Linked DNA regions of Mus musculus: region 2 is reported to be linked to region 1. Evidence: microRNA targets listed by miRTarBase, many of them from high-throughput screens and not tested one by one. Region 1 holds a microRNA gene; the other region holds the end of a gene's coding sequence.
The links. Region 1 holds the annotated microRNA mmu-miR-544-3p (AUUCUGCAUUUUUAGCAAGCUC, at 1,696-1,717, shown strand). A microRNA usually pairs through its seed, bases 2 to 8, with sites in the 3' UTR of a target mRNA and lowers its output. Matches are read on the target gene's strand: a 7mer-m8 pairs with bases 2 to 8, a 7mer-A1 pairs with bases 2 to 7 and ends in A, and an 8mer does both.

Region 1 (4,172 bases):
ATACAAACCTCTCCTTGGATTTGGGAGCCCATGTTGAGACAGACATTCTCTGTCAGTCATGTGAGTGGGTGTTGGAGCTTAGAGTTTGTGCTGGACTTACAAGGTGGTGCTTGTGACTCGGCAGTGACATCATTTCTGTAGCAGCTTCTAGAACAGAAGACCCCATGCCGGGGGTCAGCAGGGCCACCCACAATGCTTGCTCCACTTAAGATGGACACTGCCTGGCTTCTTGACCCCAGCCACCATTACCCTTAGAAGAGGCTAACGTGAGGTTGTCATGCTGAGTCCTGGGGAGTCATTTCTATAGCCTCTCACCTCCCTGGTGCTTAGAATGGCCATCAGTAGTACTGCATGCATGGTGCATGTATGTATTGGGTGCAGCCACGTGTGAGGAGTGGTGATCACTCCCAAGAGGCCTATGGATGCTGGTATTCCTGCTGTGCTACTGTTTCATACTTGAGGAGAAATTATCCTTGGTGTGTTGGCTCTTTTGGATGAATCATACAAGGATAATTTCTTTTTGAGTATCAAATACTGCCCTGGTGGACTTCCGGGATGACGAGACGGTTGTTTAAAGAGGTGCCTGGTGCATGATGCATGGGTTAGCCTTACCTGGGCACAAGGCAAGAGAGCACAGAACTGATGTGTAAGAGCTACACTCTGATCCCAAGTCAGGATCTTGCTTGAAGAGTCCAGGGGTTCCTACGTGGCTTGGTCATGGTGAGATAGCACAGTTTTCATGACTTGGCAAATCGTTCTTTTTTTTTTTGGATGGGCAGCCAATCTCACAGATAGTCACTGGGGTCAGGCCCCGGCCCCTTGCTCAAGAGTGTGACTGGTTCCACAAGCATGTGCTTGAATGACAGAGGCCGGCGAGCTGTCTGGTCTGGATCGTGAGAGGAGGTCCTGCGGTTTTTCTCGGTGCGGTGGTTCTCTGACATTTGCAGGGTGGCTATCAATAGTGTGCTCGCCATATTTATGGAGATTAATTGGGACGACCATTGTTTGCCCCATATCTGGATTTGCTTCCGAAGGTCCTAGAGCACAGTGGTGACTTCAGCTAATGGACATTGGTACCTGCTGCAGGAGAGGGAGAATTTATTGAGGCAGAGTAACCTCAGAAGGCACCCCCCCCCCCATGTACTCTCACAGTGACAGCTTTGAGGTGGCAACAGCTTTGGTGGCTTGCTTCTTTGTGCTTGGTCTGGAGAACACTGAGAATAACTCACCTGTCTGTTGTTGCTGTTAAGTCTTAGTTCAGAGGAACTCCTTGAGAAGGTACTGGGTCAAGCATCTCTTTAGGTAGACAGAACTTGGCCAGGGTCTTCTAGGTCCAGCACCCACTCTCCTCAGCATCCATTCTGAGCATAGACTTCCTGTGGTTAATACAGGTGTTAATAAGGATACTTCCTGCCGCCGCCGCTGCCTTAAGTCACTCTCTATCTGTTCCTATGGCTTCCTTTGGGCTGACTTTTTCTTAGACATACCTGGTCAATAGCATACCATTTCAGCTCATTCCATAATCTGGTGTGTGTGTGTGTGTGTGTGTGTGTGTGTGTGTGTGTGTGTGTGTGCCTGCATGCATGCTTGTACAAATTGTTGGTTAGTGTAGGGCCTCTCAAACTGCTCAACGCTGCTAAGATATTCGTCACCTAGGGATCTTGTTAAAAAGCAGAGTCTGATTGAGGGGCCAAGATTCTGCATTTTTAGCAAGCTCTCAAGTGATGCTAATGCTGCCGGTCCGTGGACAACACATGTAGCCACTGGGGGCTGGAGGTGATGTTGCATGTTCCTTGTAGTGTGTGTGCTCCATCTCCTCCATCCACCCCGCATTATCCATCATGAGTGAGCATTGAGCCAATATGCTACCTTTTGATGATCAAACTGTGGTCAGTTGTGAAAGGCCACCTGCTGTACAAACACCATTATTGATTATTGATTATTCTTTCAAATCAAAGCATGCCTCTATGGGCTTCCCAGATATAAGAGCTACTTCAAGGAGGGGCTGCCTATGTCAGCCAACAGCAGGACTTGTCAGCACCAGGTTATTGGTGACTGAGACCATCTGACTCTGTAACTCTCCATTTCCAGTCAATTGTAAGGAGCACAGTTCTGGAACCACAGCTTCTGGGGAAGGAGGAGTCCTATCTGTCGTATCTACCAGCAACCCTCGACGTTATCGAGAGAGGTAATGCCCATGGTGCCATTGCCCTTCCATGATATTCGGCCAGCTGCTGGCTTCTTGCCATCCAGCTTACCTCTCAGGGAGGACCAGATAGACTTCCATTTTGTTTCTAAATTGACCTGCCTTAGGAAGCTCTTGTGGGAATGAGTTTTTCCGTCAGACCAGATTTTAGCCCTAGGACCAATGTGTAGCAGTGAGTGGTTGCTGTCAGCTCATGTGCTTTCTTACAGACTATGGGAATTCACCTCTCAGAGTCTAGGAATTCAATTTGTCATTGGAAGAATCTTCTGGAAGGAGAGAGGACAGTAGACAAGAGGCCCCGGTTTTCCTGTCAGAGATCTCTGAGAATATTTGAGGTCATTCATGTTCTGTTTGCTTATTGTGAACGAGACACAGTTAGCTTCCTTTTGACTATCAAACTCTGCTTTTTTGAAGGGCCCCCTGCACAAGCGATATGAGACTGCCTGCCTTGTGTGAGCCTTGGATGAGCCCTGCAGCTCCTTCGAGATGCTCCTTGGATATTCCTGATGGAGAAGACCAACCCCGAGGAAGCTTGGTCCTGCTTGCGATGAGCTTGCTGTGCTTTCACGGACACCCTTCGTTTCTTCTACCAGTTTTCAGTGCCAGGGTGCGCTTGAAAGGAGAGCTGATGCCAGGGCTATAGCCTTCCCCAGCCAGAGCATGTGGGCCAAACCCTTTCTGGATGGCTAGGCAGTGGGGAGAAGCCATGAGATGGTTGAGAAGTAGTCACAACTCCCCTGGGGACAGACTGGTTTTCAGGGTTACATCCATTCAAAAACACCCCCCGGAATTCAGGCTTGTGAAAGACAAGCTAACTTGACCCTGTTCCTTTGTTCTCACTGAGGTCCTGTCCCTGGCATCCCCTTCCTCCTGTGGACACCACTGAGGTGCAGACACTACCCCGATGGGGCTTCCCGTCCTGCTGTTCGGCTCTGGAAGAGACTTGATTCCTTTTCTTTTTGTGCTGGTGGAGATCACACACAAAAGGTAAGATGAACCCAGCTGTTTGGGATTCTGGAAGAAGGAGGTTGGCCTGTATCCCTGCTGTAAGGGAAGATGCTGTTCTTGGGCGTCTCCCTTTCAGGGATGATGCCGGTGGCGGACAGGAAGCCCAGCTCCTGCCGCCTGGATGACTCTTCCCTTGGTGGGGACCAATCCTGGATGGAATCAGTTCAAGATGGATGCCAGCTTCATACAAGAGCCCTATCAGGATTGGCCTGAGGTCTGTAAGAGTATATTTGGCCCAGGTAAATCCAGGTGCTAGGGATATCTGATACCCTATAGCACATGCACGCCATCTTTAGGGCATTTCTGAGGTCAGGATGCTTCAGCTCTCACCCCTGCTTCCTCTCTTTGCCAGAGAGAAGTGCTATCAGCTACTAAAAGTGAATACTAAATGGCCTATCTATGTCAGAGGGAAGCCCAAAGCCCAGGAAGAAATGATGGACCAGAAACAACAGGACATGCTCGTAAGGTCACAGGCTTCTTTGTTCCAGACTCTCAGCACCCAGGCTACCCTAGTGAGGTCCCCAGAATTGAATGCACGTTAATCCCCCTGCCTCAGACTTTGGGAATAGGCTATTCTGAGCTTAGAGTTCTTCCAAAAGAACAATTTTCTCCTGAAGTATCTATTCAGCACCCCTCCCCCACCCACCCAACCCCTGCCCAAATCTATGGTTAGCTTTCTTGATGCTGAGTCCTATAAGGGAATATTGATCTTATTGAGGAAGGGCTATTGACCTCAGCCAATTCAGGGACAGTTGTTCACTTGGCTAGAGGGAAAAACAAGGTGTGTAGCCAATTCTCCTAACATTTGCTCCTCAATCCATTCTTAGGAAGACTTGCTGCATGGTGGATGGCCCAGAGACGGCGGGGCTCACAGATGGTCACGTTTAGTGCTTGCAGATTGGTAATGCCTGTGCCCTTGGCTTTGTTTATTCTGGTCAACCAGTTGTCAGTGCTGCCA
Region 2 (4,336 bases), not on the chromosome of region 1:
AACTGTAATTTTGCTGCTGTTGTGAATTGTAATGTAATCCTAATATCTGTTCTCTGATGGTCATAGTTGACCCCTGTGAAAGGGTCATTCAATCTCATCCCCTAAAGGGATCACAAACCACAGGTTGAGGAGCACTGGTCTAGACAAAAGTATGAAAATATCCCAGAAAGTTCATGTGTTGAGTCAACATTAGGATAGTGGGCAAGCCACGGGGCCATAAAGTGAGATGCTGGTGAGGGCGGATGGGAGAAGGCATCACTGGGTCCTGTCCATAGCCCATCTTTACACAGAGAGAGGCCGTGTGAAGCAGATGTGGCAGGACTATCACGTCTGTTTCCTATGGGAAACAAAAGCACTGGGGACTTGGAGCAGATGGGTTTAAGTTTGACTCCTGGGCACAACAAGGACTGTCTTCATGAAGACTGATAGCTATGGCAGATGCTACCAAGGGGATATGAGATGGAAGCTATGCATCCCATTACACACACACACGCACACACACACATACACACACACGCACACATGCATTCACACACACACACACACACACACATGTGAATGCATATACACATACGTGCACACAAAGGCTCATATACACACAGACTCACACAATTAACACTCATACATGCACACATGCTCACGCACACACATACACATGTGCATGCACATACGCATATGCATATCACACACACAGGCTCATGCACACACAGGTTCACACACAAACACACACACAAATTCACACACACACATACACATACATGCACACACTTGCACACACGTGCACATGTGCGCACACTCAGCCTGTGGGAACCCCACTTCCCTGCTTTTCCATCATACTCACGCACCCTCTTCCTTCTCACATTGACTCTCATCTTGCTCTCCTCCTTTTCACATCTGGGTCCCGGGGCCATCCATTGTTACCCCATTGGAACAGCCCGTATCTGTTCCCAGTAGTTAGAGGCTTGAGAGTCTGGTCACCTCGACACCCAGTCTCTGAGTGGGAGGGGGCGGGGCTCAAGAGGGAAGTCAGGCCTCAACTCAGTGCCATCTCTTTTCTCTCCACAGAAAACCAAAAGAGATGTCAATAACTTTGACCAAGACTTTACGCGGGAAGAGCCAATACTTACACTTGTGGATGAAGCAATCATTAAGCAGATCAACCAGGAAGAATTCAAAGGCTTCTCCTACTTTGGTGAAGACCTGATGCCCTGAGAGGCTGCTTCGGATGGAGGGAGCTCATGCTGCAAGGACGGTGTTGAGATACTCCCAAGCTGCAGAGGCTCCGAAGGTCTCAACTCCTCCTCCTCCTCCCCCTCCCCAGAGCCCCAGTCCCATGTCCACTCTCTTATTTATTGCATTCCCCCACCCCAGGCCACGTCCCTCCCCACCCTCCCAGTGATCAGAAGGCACTCTTGGTCTAGACTCACCAAGATCACAGATTTGAATTGCATCAGCTACCTGTGGGTAGCTGTGCGCAGTGTTGGGTTTGATGTATCCATCCAACCGCAAGCCAGAAGCAGCTTCAGTTCTTTTACTACAAAGAAAAAAAAAAAAAAACAACTCGAAGACTCTGGCTCTGCCACTGGACGTGGACTCCTGATTTCTCCCTCCTCCCATTCCTCCTCGTCTCCAGCCTGCCATCCCTGCCCAGCTACCTAAGAGAAGAGAGCAGAGTTTCTTCCACGGGAGGGCGGGTGCCCCAAGGCTTGCCCTTGATGGAAGGAGCCTGAGTTGCTCAGGTGGTCCAGCTGTGGCCGTGTGCTCTGGAATCGCACATTCCTGCTTGCTTTGGTTTTAGCTTTTTTTGAGCATGCCAAAGTTGTATGCGTTTGTATCTCATGGAAGAAATCATTTTGATTTTGAACTCTAAACATTACAAAAAAAAAAAGCAGAAAGAAAGGAAGAGAGAAAGGAAGGAAGAAAGAAAGAAAGAAAGAAAGAAAGAAAGAAAGAAAGAAAGAAAGAAAGAAAGAAAGAAAGAAAGAAAACTATTACTACGTTCACTTTCTAATTGGCCAAAAGATAGACATCCCAACGTGAACACGGGTAGATATTAAAGGGCTAATACACGGTGAGAATCCAGTCATCCGACGTTTGTTATTGATGCTTTAGTGACACATGAGGTCTATGCAAAGAGAGCAAAGAAAACTCTGGCTTCTCATCATGAGAATTTTCCCTGAGCACAAAGACCACCAGAGCAACAGCCAAGATCCCAGGGTTCCAGAAAAACTTAATTCCCAAATTCTCTCTCCAGTCTTGGTCCCATGTTCCCAGCATAAACCCTTATTTTCTCTGTGCTTCTACAAGATGGCCGTACCACTCTGTTGTGGTTTGAAACGTTCGCTATGTAGGATAAACTCTGAAGTATCTGTTTTGGGAATGCAGGGAACGAAACACAGCCGGGGTCAGGCAGAAGGTCTCAGGAGACTAAGGAGCAACTGATCTGAGGGCCGTCGAGGTGCTGGGATGTAGCCAGAGTTTTGGTGACATGCGATGGTAACTCACGTGGACTGATATTACCTCCTGTAGCTATGCTGACAGTGTTACAGTTTTGATTCCTAAGGGTTCCCTGTGGCTTTGTGTATATGTTCCCTGAAGGTCATTTGATTACCTATTTTATTGAACTGACTTAGCAGGGAGTGGAATCCATTCCAACCATTGCACGTGGATTTCCCAACCACCCCTAAGTAGATATACCTGTGAGTGGCAAACTGACACTAACGAAGCTTTTTGCCTTTTGTACATTTGAGATTTTTTTTGTATATAGTGTTCGCTGCAAGGCCTGTGGAGTTAAATCATTGACTATAGAGGTATCAACTGCTGCATGTTCAGGCATATTATAGAACTTTAGTCTATGAAAGAATAACTATAATAATGTCCAGGTGCAATCTCCTTATCACCTATTGGTTCAAGTTGCTGAGAGAGAGGTATGTTTCTTTCCAGGGAGGGCTGGGGTCCTTCATATTGTTTATTTCCTTTTGGGTTAAAAGTGTAAGCACATAGTGAACTCTGTTAAAGTCACGCTCGGTTCTCCTGTGTAGTGTCATGCCCTGAGAGAGATGGCAGACGGGAAAGAATGTTCTCGATAGTGGTTTCCAAGCTTGGACAGTGACTATTTTGAGCCCATACTAAATGTGTCCCTATTTGCATCTGGCTGGTCACAGCCTTTGTCTCTAATGACGACCTTCAGTTTTCCTCTTTGTTTTGCTTTTTTTTTTTAAGAAAAACTCAGGTGTAACTGTGATCTGTTCTTATGATGATTGCAAATATTAAATGCTATGCTGTATCAATCTGTATGTTTGGCATACCAGGGAAGTGATGAAGAACATTAGATTAATTTAATTTATCTTCAGTAACTTGACATACTGGGGGAAGACTATCTTTTGGAGTGGAAAACAAGCACAGAAACATCTTCATGGTGGTATCATCTCAATGTTTAGAAAAAACATAATAATCCCATTATACTCAGATATAATCTCTCTTTCTCTCTCTCTCTCTTTCTCTTTCCCTCTCCCTCTCCCTCTTCCTCCCTCCCTCCCTCCCTTCCTTCTGCTTTCTTTACCATTGTGAACATTGGACAGCCAAGGCCAATATCAAGTGTTTTTCCCCCAGGGTTTGGTAGTGTTAATGTTACAGTGAAGGCTACACCCTTCCTCATGGCCAGTTGGCACTGTTGCTGGGAAGTCAAACAACACATTCCACCAGCAACTCTAAGAAGTCAGGCCCCTGATACCCTTTTGGTGCCCATAGCCCTGCTGGCTAGGAGGCTTCCAGCCAACGCTTTGAATCTAGTGGAGACCTACACACGAGTGTGTTCTTTGGATGTATACTGAGTCCTGTCAGCAAGAACTTAGCCACAGGGAATGTGGCTTGGTGGCAGAACTCTTGCCTGGCTGGTGTGAAGCCTTGTACATGGGTCCCAGCATCACAAAAACAGCAGTGGTGGGGATGGCCAAGCTGGCACCAGGGTATCTGGGGAATGGCCACACTGGCACCAGGGGATCTGCCAGGTCTATATTTTTCCAACTCTCACTTTCTTTATCTTAAAGGAAAAAAGTGGGGGGGAAAAAGCCAAAAAATACTACATGAAGGATAGTAATTCCTCCCTGCCTCTCATTATGGACTTCTTGAAGTAGAAACATTTTTTTTCCTCCAAAGGTGAAAACACCATTCATTCTTGCTTTAAAAATAAAAGAAGGCTTAAAAAAATTACCTCTTTTTAAATTATGTGCAAAGTAATTCTGGTTAATAGAAATGTATTCAATTTTAGGGGTTTTATTTTGTATTGTGAAGCTTTCTTTTCCTTTCCGGATGTGATTTTAATCCCTTGCCATCT

Region 2: the mRNA of Prkce is a reported target of mmu-miR-544-3p. Seed matches in the 3' UTR shown: 7mer-A1 at 1,889-1,895.

The regions. Positions count from the first base shown.
Region 1 is chr12:109,727,676-109,731,847 of GRCm38, forward strand. Mir544 (microRNA 544) reads left to right here and starts at 1,650; the gene lies at 1,650-1,727. Mir539 (microRNA 539) reads left to right here and starts at 454; the gene lies at 454-527.
Region 2 is chr17:86,653,476-86,657,811 of GRCm38, forward strand. Prkce (protein kinase C, epsilon) reads left to right here. Exons shown (of 15, transcript NM_011104.3): 15 at 1,066-4,336. The coding sequence ends at 1,212. Among named protein-coding and RNA genes, the nearest start is that of Gm52297, 14 kb to the right of the region's middle.